3 linked regions of the Xenopus tropicalis genome follow. The protein of the gene in region 3 interacts with the protein of the main gene of each other region in a pairwise test. Links are inferred from orthologs where the notes say so. Each region holds a gene or a part of one and is shown on either strand. Other genes may lie near its edges.

Region 1 (3,655 bases), on a different chromosome or scaffold from region 3:
TAGCAGTACGGTACCTATTACAGGAAATAAATCTCAGGGCTGCCATTTATACTCTAAAGTACAGTCCACAGGAATAAATAAATTACTCTTGCTGCACATATTACCGCTACAGTAACCAGTACGAGCCAGGATATACTTCTCTGGGCTGCACAATGATTTATCCTTACGTACCTATAGTACAACAGGAAATAAATACTCTGGCCTGGCCACATTATTAGCGGTAATAAAATCAGTACCAGTTACCAAGTCATAGGGAAAATTAAATACTCTGGGACTGCACATTGATTACTCTACAGTACCAGTAAACCCAACAGGGATAATACAACAGGGCAGCGACTTATTAACTCTATAGTACCCAGTTAACCAGCAGGGAAATAATTACTCTTGGGCTGCACATTATTACTCTACAGTGGCCGGTACCAGCGGGAAATAATACTCGCGCTGGAGGTTGCGCACATTAATTACTTCTTAGCATTGCCTAGTAAACCCAGCAGGAAAAATAATAACTTCCTGGGCTGCACATTTAATACTCCTACAGTACAAATGGAAATAAATATCGGGCCCGCACATTATACTCCCTTACAGTACCATACGGGAAATATATACTTTCCAGGTTCAGCTATTTAGGCTCGGTTGGGTAATTTAAGCGCTTGGGTGGCTGTGTTACTCGGGGCGGAGACCGCTTGCCACTGGTGGTGTGTCATCTGCTCTCTTGTAGTTTTAGCTCCACTGGCTTTCCGCATGCCCACATGGAGTTTAATAAGGGTTTTTCTTGTTAGCTGTTTGTTGCCCTCGTTCCTTGTTGTTGTGCCTGGTGGTCGGTGTCGTTCATACATTGTGACCCACACTGGCTTGTTTTTCGGGGCCTTTATTTCATGTGTGCGTTTGCTGTCTGTCTATCCGGTGTGATTTTTTTGCTCGGCGCGTTGATGCTGCGTTTTTCGTCTAGCGCACGGCGCCCCTTTGCGGGTCCGGCGGGACGCGCTCCTTTTACCATCAGGGAAATCAATCTCAGGGCTGCAGGCATTAATACTCTCCAGTAACCAGTACAAACAAGGGTAAATAAATACTTCTGGGCTGCACATTATTACTCTACAGTTACAGCACAGGGATAATAAAATTACTCAGGGCTTGTGGCACCATTCTATTATCCTTCAGTACCAGTACCAAACAGGGAAATAAATCTTCTTGGCTGCACATTATTACTCTGCAAGTGCAGTAACGCCTAAGCCCAGGGAATAAATACTCTGGGCTGCCACATTATTACTCTACAGTACATAGGGAAAATAAATACTCGGGGCTTGCCATATTCCATCTTAACAGTACCGTTAGGGGGAAATAAATATCGCAAGGGCCAAGCAATTATTACTTCTGACAGTAACCACACAGGAATAAATCTAGGTCAGCACATTATTACTCTCCAGTGCCAGATACCATCAGGGATAAATATACTTGCCTAGTGGTCTAGTGATAGAAATCGTATTTGTAGCGGTGTGCCTCTCTATGGTCGGGATAGATGTGGTATTGAATTGTTCACAGCACGGGGAAAAGAGATGGGCAGCTTTGCGAGGTCGGAAGATATGCGGGATGGAGAAATCCATAAAGTTAGTCGTGCGTTCCGGTCTTCGTTAAAGGCAGGTAGCAGTCGGTGACTCTGGGCTGCACATTATTACTCTACAGTACCGGTACCAGCAGGGAAATAAATACTCTGGGCTGCACATTATTACTCTACAGTACCGGTACCAGCAGGGAAATAAATACTCTGGGCTGCACATTATTACTCTACAGTACCGGTACCAGCAAGGAAATAAATACTCTGGGCTGCACATTATTACTCTACAGTACCGGTACCAGCAGGGAAATAAATACTCTGGGCTGCACATTATTACTCTACAGTACCAGTACCAGCAGGGAAATAAATACTCTGGGCTGCACATTATTACTCTACAGTACCGGTACCAGCAAGGAAATAAATACTCTGGGCTGCACATTATTACTCTACAGTACCGGTACCAGCAGGGAAATAAATACTCTGGGCTGCACATTATTACTCTACAGTACCGGTACCAGCAGGGAAATAAATACTCTGGGCTGCACATTATTACTCTACAGTACCGGTACCAGCAGGGAAATAAATACTCAGGGCAGCACATTATTACTCTACAGTACCGGTACCAGCAGGGAAATAAATACTCTGGGCTGCACATTATTACTCTCCAGTACCAGCAGGGAAATAAATACTCTGGGCTGCACATTATTACTCTACAGTACCGGTACCAGCAGGGAAATAAATACTCAGGGCAGCACATTATTACTCTGCAGTACCGGTACCAGCAGGGAAATAAATACTCAGGGCAGCACATTATTACTCTGCAGTACCGGTACCAGCAGGGAAATAAATACTCAGGGCAGCACATTATTACTCTACAGTATTGGTACCATCAGGGAAATAAATACACAGGGCAGCACATTATTACTCTGCAGTACCGGTACCAGCAGGGAAATAAATACTCAGGGCAGCACATTATTGCTCTACAGTACCGGTACCAGCAGGGAAATAAATACTCAGGGCTGCACATTATTACTCTACAGTACCGGTAGCAGCAGGGAAATAAATACTCAGGGCAGCACATTATTACTCTACAGTACCGGTAGCAGCAGGGAAATAAATACTCAGGGCAGCACATTATTACTCTACAGTACCGGTACCAGCAGGGAAATAAACACAGCTATAATATACATGCAGCGCTATGTGAGTGACCCCCCTGAGCCCATTCGGTACCTGATAGAGATCATTCTGGATACTGAGCACGTCGGCCGGTGCCAAGGATATGAAGCAGAGGGCGGTGTCGGTCCAGCCATGGATGACAGTGAGATGCAGGAACCTACAGGGTAACAGGAGCGCAGTGAGTAGTGCAGGCAGGGAGGGAAGTTTAGGGTGGGGGACTGGGGGATATGGAACAGTCCATGTCGGAAACCCCCTGGCAGCAATGGGTGTAATATGTCAACATATTTTGCCTTTCTAAAGCACTGATGTAAAACAGGTCACCAATCTCATTCCTCCCCCTTATTCCTGTAAGCAGGATAATGAGCTCTGTATAAACAAGCTCCCCCCTTCTCTAAGCTGCAGCCTTTGCTAGGCTTAGGGATGAGCAACTCACTATACACAGGGCTTATCTGCGGACTGGTCATTTGTTTTAACTGCTTCTCCTCTGCTTGGCAGAACCAGGAAGTCGTTTTATTTCTAACAGGAAGTACAAGAAATAAGAACCATAGTGATTTCCTGTTTCAGACATTAGGCAGAAAGCCAGGAATTGCCCATTTCTCCTCCACAGACACAGTACTCCCATGCCGCCTCCCTACCCATCATAAAGGTGATGCATGCTGGGAGTGGGACACTTCCTGGTCACATGACTGTAATCCCAAACTCATACATAGGATATACTTGGTGCTCCCTGCTGTGTGCGAGGCACGGAGGTATGCAGGGAGTTTGTGAGTGACACTGCAGGGATTCCCTGCACCCACTAAAGAGAAAAAGCCACTACAATTAGCAAGAGAGGAACGGGGGGACGTGAGCACAGGGGCCCCCAGAAGAGAGTGGGAGTGGCCGGTGGGTGAGCGAGGGGCGGTGCCGGAGCACTGGGCCAGCGCCACT
Region 2 (4,241 bases), on a different chromosome or scaffold from region 3:
TATTGGGCCTATGGGGGGCTGTTTGGGCCTCTGCCAGTCTGGGCCTGATTTTCAGTACACAGAGGCCCAAACAGCCCCCCATAGGCCCAATAAATAGTGAGTGTCTATGGCACCTTACAGCAGCCCCTCTGGCATTTGCCTGAACCCACAGATTGCCAGTCTGGGCCTGATTTTCAGTACACAATCTGTGGGTTCAGGCAAATGCCAGAGGGGCTGCTGTAAGATGCCATAGACAGTCACTATTTATTGGGCCTATGGGGGGGCTGTTTGGGCCTCTGTGTACTGAAAATCAGGCCCAGACTGGCAATCTGTGGGTTCAGGCAAATGCCAGAGGGGCTGCTGTAAGGTGCCATAGACACTCACTATTTATTGGGCTGTTTGGGCCTCTGGGAACTTAAAATGCCAGGGTCTATTTTGAATCCCAGTCAGGGTCGGACTGGGCCACTGGGAAAAATACTGGTGGGCCGACGTGTAAAACGTATGCATGCTCAGAGGCGGGCATCGGGCTGGGGGACCCTGCCAGGTGAGGGGGGGTGCGGGGGACACGGCCGGGCGGGGGCAGCGGCCTCGGTGGGCCCTGCACCCCCCAGTCCAACCCTGATCCCAGTCCAGACCTGTAGCAGGGTCACATGATCACTTGAAAATTCAGGGACAGGGCTAGAAAATTGTATTTCAGTTTAATTTAAAGGCATCAGTGCTGCCCTGTAACATGTACTAATTAGACCTGTCCCCTGAACTCTCAAGCGATCTGTTTATCCGAGGTGATCTCTGGTTTGTGGCAGCTGTACCTTACAGGGCTGGAAATAAATGGTGCAGGTTCAGGCAGCTAATAATATGGCGACTCCTGACTAAAAAGACACGTCTTTCAGTAGCTTCGAGGGTGGGCGGAAACGCTCCTAAACGCTCCCCTGTGATCTAAAGGCCAACTATATATACCCGCCACTTCAGGCATTTTGTCACAGGAACGGCTTGGAATAATGTCTGCGCCATAGCCATGGGCAACGCACTACACTACTTACCACTAAAACATACATACACGTCTCTCCCCCGCCCTTTAGGTAACACTTTTACGCAATAAGCCAAGCACTTTGTTGTTTAATGCGCAACAGGTGACGCTATAGTTGGCCGGGAGCTGAACCAGAGCCGCAGGTCTCCCCGCTCCGCTGAGCTCTCTCTCCTCACTTTACTTTCACTTCCCTAAACAGTCACCTAAGCAGCGCCCCGCAGCCAATCACAGCCGCCCTTTCTCCTCCCTTCAATAACAATAAAAAAAAAACCCACTTGTAAGCTCCGCCCCTAGTGGTGCGGACGTCATGGCCCCGCCCAGAGGCAGTGTGAGTGACGCGGGCTGCTGCTTAGTCACGGTGACTGCTCCAGAGCATGGCGGGGGCAGCTGGCAATCAGACCGGAGTCCGGTGAGACAAGGGGAAATGGCGGTGCGGGGCCCCGGGAAGTACCGGAGGGATTGGGGAGGCGGGGAGCTGGAACAGGAGAGGGGGCGAGCTGGAGGGATAAAGAGACGGGCGGACGGGAGGGGGCAGGAAGCAAGGGCCGGGGGGGAGTAGGTACTGACTGGGATGATATCATTGGCGAGTAAGGTAGCGCCAACCTGCTGCTCTCAAGCTCTCCCTGAACTACAACTGCCAGCAGCACCTAGGGGTGACTTGTAGCTCAGCAACAAGAGCTGAAGGGCTGGAGCGTAAAGCGCGGTGTGTGTGTCCTACAGGGGGGAATGGGGGACCAGACATGGAGAGAAGCGTAACCAGTGCCTCACACTCACAGCTGTATGTACACTCACTCTCACAGCTGTATGTACACTCACTCTCACAGCTGTATGTACACTCACTCTCACAGCTGTATGTACACTCACACTCACACAGCTGTATGTACACTCACTCACACACACAGCTGTATGTACACTCACTCACACACACAGCTGTATGTACACTCACTCTCACAGCTGTATGTACACTCACACTCACACAGCTGTATGTACACTCACTCACACACACAGCTGTATGTACACTCACTCTCACAGCTGTATGTACACTCACACAGCTGTATGTACACTCACTCTCACAGCTGTATGTACACTCACTCTCACAGCTGTATGTACACTCACTCTCACAGCTGTATGTACACTCACACTCACAGCTGTATGTACACTCACACTCACAGCTGTATGTACACTCACAGCTGTATGTACACTCACACTCACAGCTGTATGTACACTCACACTCACAGCTGTATGTACACTCACACTCACAGCTGTATGTACACTCACTCTCACAGCTGTATGTACACTCACTCTCACAGCTGTATGTACGCTCACTCTCACAGCTGTATGTACACTCACTCTCACAGCTGTATGTACACTCACTCTCACAGCTGTATGTACGCTCACTCTCACAGCTGTATGTACACTCACTCTCACAGCTGTATGTACGCTCACTCACACACACAGCTGTATGTACACTCACTCACACACACAGCTGTATGTACACTCACTCTCACAGCTGTATGTACACTCACTCTCACAGCTGTATGTACACTCACTCACACACACAGCTGTATGTACACTCACACACACAGCTGTATGTACACTCACTCTCACAGCTGTATGTACACTCACTCTCACAGCTGTATGTACGCTCACTCACACACACAGCTGTATGTACACTCACACTCACAGCTGTATGTACACTCACTCTCACAGCTGTATGTACACTCACTCTCACAGCTGTATGTACGCTCACTCTCACAGCTGTATGTACGCTCACTCACACACACAGCTGTATGTACACTCACACTCACAGCTGTATGTACACTCACACTCACAGCTGTATGTACACTCACTCTCACAGCTGTATGTACGCTCACTCACACACACAGCTGTATGTACACTCACTCACACACACAGCTGTATGTACACTCACTCACACACACAGCTGTATGTACACTCACTCACACACACAGCTGTATGTACACTCACTCACACACACAGCTGTATGTACACTCACTCACAGCTCTGTACCATGATATGTACACTCACACTACCCCATGGCATGCATACACAGGGCATGCGGTGTCACCCCCCCCCCACACACACACAATTACACCACTACATCTTTATACAGTGTAGGCAGCAGCAGTGCAAGTCGGCCCCCGCACTACCCCATGGCATCAACACACAGGGCAGGCAGTGCCAATCTCTCCTCTACACTCACTGACACCATGGCATATTTATACAGTGTAGGCAGCAGCAGTTTTACTCTGCCCCCTTACACACACACACACCTGTACCATAGCATGTATACACAGCACAGGTGCCAGTCCTCACACACACACACAGTGCCTTTGTGACCCGCATACACACAAGCAGTACAGTACTAGTTGTGACAGTGTTGGATACAAAGCAGAATACTCCCTTTAGAATGATTGGCTGCTGGGAGCGACACTTTGGGGCATACAGCTGCTCAGCCTTGCTTTCTTCCCAACTGGGTGACTGGGTGCCAAACTGCGCTTTATGGAAGGTGCAGCGCCTCTTGCCTGTGTATTAATCAGAACAACTTTGCTTTTGCCCTTATTTGAAAATGACTTTTAATACGTAGGGGAAACCACTGCCAGCCCTGCACCCAGTACAGTGGCACCCAGTACAGTGGCACCCAGTACAGTGGCACAGGTCTTCCCATTATTCAAGCCTATCATCAGTGCGAGGGTGCTGCCATACTGGGCTGCTTTAGTTGAGAGATGAGACACTTGTCGCACTTGTGTGCTAGAGTTAGAAGAGAGCGGAGGCTATCTCAGTTGTTGTGCTCTGAGGCTGGGTGTGAGTGGAGCCTAATGGCTTCCTGGCAGGCCTGTCCTGATTGGGGCAAAGTGGCACAGAGACCAGATAATAATGAGGTAGTGTATTCTCATTTGTGCCTATAGAAGGTTCTACACTAGGTCCCTGCAGATATTGCCCTGGCTGGACTCGAACCCAGGACCTCAGTGCTACAAAGCAGCTGTTACTTTTTTTTTTTTTTTTATACAAACTGAAATAGTGCCTTGTTACTCTCTGCCACATTAGATGTTCACGTTTCATATATTTGTGTGTTTGGAAAGTAAATCAACTAACCTTTTTTGTCTTGCCTACCTCTTAGTTAAAGGACACGTCAAACCACCCCCCCCAAAAAAAAATACTTTTTACCTTATAAAACAAATATGAGCAACTTTCCAATATGATTTTATTAAAAAGA
Region 3 (3,655 bases):
CATCCCTAGGGCCAACAATCGAATTGCAATAGCAGACATAGACGCCTTCTGATCGGAGACCGCATCAACGAGCCGATGTGCTCCCTGATCTGACAGAAAATCAAGCCTGCCTGATCGAGATCTGCCCAATTTGAGGCCAGATATCCATCGGGTAGGCATCGGGGTGCAGATAAGCTGCCGAACCGGTTTGGACCAGAATCGGCAGCTGAAATCGGCCTGTGTATGGCCCCCTTTAGACTTCACTTGCAAACAGTGTGCAAAGCTCATAAATACTCACTTGAAAAGACACATTGCTATTCAGACATTTAAACAATTTGTACAGATGAATACAAATCCTGCAATAAGTGTATTATCTGTGATTTAGATGTTTTAACGTGACTTTACAAAATATTTGTATGCAAACAGCATTCAGCCCCCCCCCCTTTTGAGCACTAACAGTGTTATGTGTTTTGAGTTCCAATGCATACCGGCTTTACACACAATTTAGGTGTAATTTTTGGTGTCACATTTTTTCTGGCACATGTTCTCTGTTATTCAGGTCAGATGACACTTGTGTTTCAGTTAATTAGTCTGAGAGATACTCAGCTGGCATGACCTGGCATAGCTCGTTTGCATAATGGCTTCTTTTGTGCCACCCTACTTTAAAGGAAAGTGTTTATGCAAAACACTTAATATCGCTGATGCAGACCTACAGTGAAGTGAGGTGGCGATGCATAATGCTGTTGGACTGCTTCTTATTCTGCACATCTAGTTAAAACAGAAGGAAGCAGAAAGTGTAATTATATCCTATGGGAGGCTTCCAAAATCATGCATTGAAGGTTGAAAGTCAAAGTTTTTTGCGGCGTTTATGATCGTTCGGATACGAAAATTTCAGAACTTTCGGATTGCGCCACGATATTTGCGTACAAACACAATAGGAATTTTCTCACAATTAACACACATCCAAAATTATTGTATTTATTCCGAATTTTTGCCAATCATACTTTTAATTAGCCGAAATTCGGACTTTGATAAATCTGCCCCTGAGTGAAAAAAAGACCCCTGTCCCTTTTAAAGGAGTGGTTCACCTATAAGTAAACTTTTAGTATGTTATAGAATGGCCAATTATAGTTTTTGAACAATTTGCAGCTTTTAAATGGGGGTCACTGACCCTGTGAGGCTACAATTTTACTGTTACTTTTTATAACTTTTTTTTCTATTCAGGTCCTTTCCTATTCATGTACCAGTCTCTCCTTCAAACCACTCCCTGGTTGCTATATAATTTGGACCCTAGCAACCAGATAGCTGCTGAAACTCCAAACTGAAGAGCTGCTAAACAAAAAGCGAAATGACTAAAAAGAACACCGTTTTATTGCAGGATTTGTTGTTCATTAAATGAACAAATTGTTTCAGTGTCTGAATAGCCATTGTTGTCAGATAATGTATGTTTTTTCATTTTCTGCTGTAAGACACACTGGCATAGTTGGTAATGGCCTACAAGATAGCGGTCAACTTATGGGCTCTGTTTGACTTAACTGATGGCTGTACTTTCATAGCTCTTTACCCAGCTGTTTATTAAGGGAAGTGAAAAATTTTTTAGCCTTATTGATCATTCTAATCATCACTTTACCATCATCATAGTATTTGATTTGTTCATTCATGGTTTTTGTCATTTGCACATTTATTTTATTTATTTTTTTATTGTCTGATTGATTCCTTCCATTCTTTATGGTCATTTTAGATAAACCATTACCAGGGCTCAGCGCGTATTCGAATATCCCTAGTTACTAAGGATTCTCCACACAAACCTCACCCTCATGAGTTGGTAGGAAAGGACTGTAAGGATGGATATTATGAAGCTGAACTTTCCCCAGATCGTAGTATTCACAGGTAATGATTGGTTTGGTTACACTTCTGTTCAAAGGAATTGTCAGCCCCAAAAATAACTTTTTGCTTAATTAAACAAAACTTAATTCTAAGCAATATACATTCATTACTTCATTCATTCATTATTTTTTTTAGTTATTTGTATATATAATTGCTATTAAAAGCAGTGTCTACCTGTCCTCTCTAGTCTCTGCCCTGGTGGCTCTGGCACTTGAAGCAATGTAACACAAGGCAGCAGACTGACAGACCTTGTCATGATATAGGCCTGTAAGGGTTAATCAAGCAGGCCAAGGTATCCCAAAATCTTCCAGAAATGTGCCAGAAAGAGATATATAACAGGCCTCTGGTCACTAGGGTCTGGAACCAGCCATGTGTAAAGGCCTCGCATCCTGAAATGCCCAACTCTAATCCCTGGCTGATAAGAGCCATGCCATGTGGGGGAGTGAAAGCCCACGTGGGGGTGACTTAGAGTTCACATTGGGACCCATCATAGGTGATGTGGAGGTCACACCATAACCCAAACTCACAAACATTTATTGTCCCAGAACCCATACTATTTATACTAGAGGTACCAAAACCTGAGTATATGTTTCATTTAAGATGGCCTTTCATACGGGTCCAAACATCACTGGATTTGGGCACTTGGTTTGTCAGATAGGAGTATCTGGGCAGGGGCAGGTCACACAGTGGTGATGTTTAGTCTGTATGGGACCGGTGGGATCATTAAGAATTGATGAATCTAATTTCATCATGTTCCCACAAGGAGTTATGGACATTGGTATCATTGGACAAGTCCCATACACTCAGTCCATACACAGGAGGCCATAAAACTCACACTGTGTCCTGCTAATGGTGACACCCCTTGCATTCCTGAGGGAGGGGGGAGTGTCCAGTTACCTGATCCCCCTGCAAACTGGGATAAATAGTCAGCTCTTCTGAAGATATTATGTGGAGGACCAATTTCTATTGGAAGTTTATCCTGTGGTTTCCCCTTGCCTCCAGGACTAGAAGGACTTTGCTTGGTATAGTATAGGACTTCTATATTTTTCCCTTTTTATTTTAAAACTGTTTGTACTTGTTTTATCGTATGTCCTTTGTTGTAACATCTTGTTTTAAACTTGCACTGTTATACTTTTTATAATATTAAATATAAAATTTAATAAGTTTGTCCTTGATGCTCTAAAACGTACCTAACCTCCGAGTGTGTAACTGTGTTGTGTGCCTTAGCCCTCTGTATGCTGTGTGCTGATTAACCCTTTGACTGCTGGTAAGGAGAGTGTGTGTGTCGGTTCTTTACATTAACCCTTTCTCTACCAGTGTGCTTGGCATCTCTCATCGCCAGTGTAAGAAGTATGAAAGTGGTGGCAGCAAGTTGTGTATGAGTTTGTGAGCGTTGGTTGGTCTTTGGGGTGCTGTGATGCTAGTCTGACCTGTGTGTCAGGTGTGTGAGACTGAGCAAGGGACCCTCTAGACAGCCACGCCTACAGTCACGTGCATCTGAAGTGGCGTAATCGTGACAGACCTGCCTTGCTGGAGGAGCCTGGCACATGCAATTTTGTTAAAAAGTAACAACCAGGATTTCGGCAAATGCTGCTTTCAATAGCAATTACGTTTACACAACTTTTAAAGTAGTAATAATTTTTAACGAATTGATATTGGAAAGTTGCTTAGAATTATGTTTCTAATTTATTAGGCAAAAACATTTTTTGGGGGTTGACGTCCTTTAAGATTAAAAAAAAAAAAATGCTCTTTAGTAGTAATGTCTCTTAAAACATCAGCATTCTCTAAA

The links.
Region 1: the proteins of rela (region 3) and nfkbie interact in binary tests that used the Homo sapiens proteins (3 or more experiments, as listed by UniProt). The link is inferred for Xenopus tropicalis from reciprocal best matches to the Homo sapiens genes RELA and NFKBIE.
Region 2: the proteins of rela (region 3) and keap1 interact in binary tests that used the Homo sapiens proteins (3 or more experiments, as listed by UniProt). The link is inferred for Xenopus tropicalis from reciprocal best matches to the Homo sapiens genes RELA and KEAP1.

Annotation. Positions count from the first base shown.
Region 1 is NC_030681.2:2,161,576-2,165,230, reverse strand, and holds part of nfkbie (NF-kappa-B inhibitor epsilon), read right to left. Parts: intron 2,886-3,655; coding exon 2,783-2,885; intron 1-2,782. UniProt on the Homo sapiens protein: Sequesters NF-kappa-B transcription factor complexes in the cytoplasm, thereby inhibiting their activity. Sequestered complexes include NFKB1-RELA (p50-p65) and NFKB1-REL (p50-c-Rel) complexes.
Region 2 is NC_030679.2:138,054,702-138,058,942, reverse strand, and holds the start of keap1 (kelch-like ECH-associated protein 1), read left to right. Parts: upstream 1-1,393; 5' UTR 1,394-1,415; intron 1,416-4,241. UniProt on the Homo sapiens protein: Substrate-specific adapter of a BCR (BTB-CUL3-RBX1) E3 ubiquitin ligase complex that regulates the response to oxidative stress by targeting NFE2L2/NRF2 for ubiquitination.
Region 3 is NC_030680.2:38,474,902-38,478,556, forward strand, and holds part of rela (transcription factor p65), read left to right. Parts: intron 1-1,720; coding exon 1,721-1,869; intron 1,870-3,655. UniProt on the Homo sapiens protein: NF-kappa-B is a pleiotropic transcription factor present in almost all cell types and is the endpoint of a series of signal transduction events that are initiated by a vast array of stimuli related to many biological processes such as inflammation, immunity, differentiation, cell growth, tumorigenesis and apoptosis.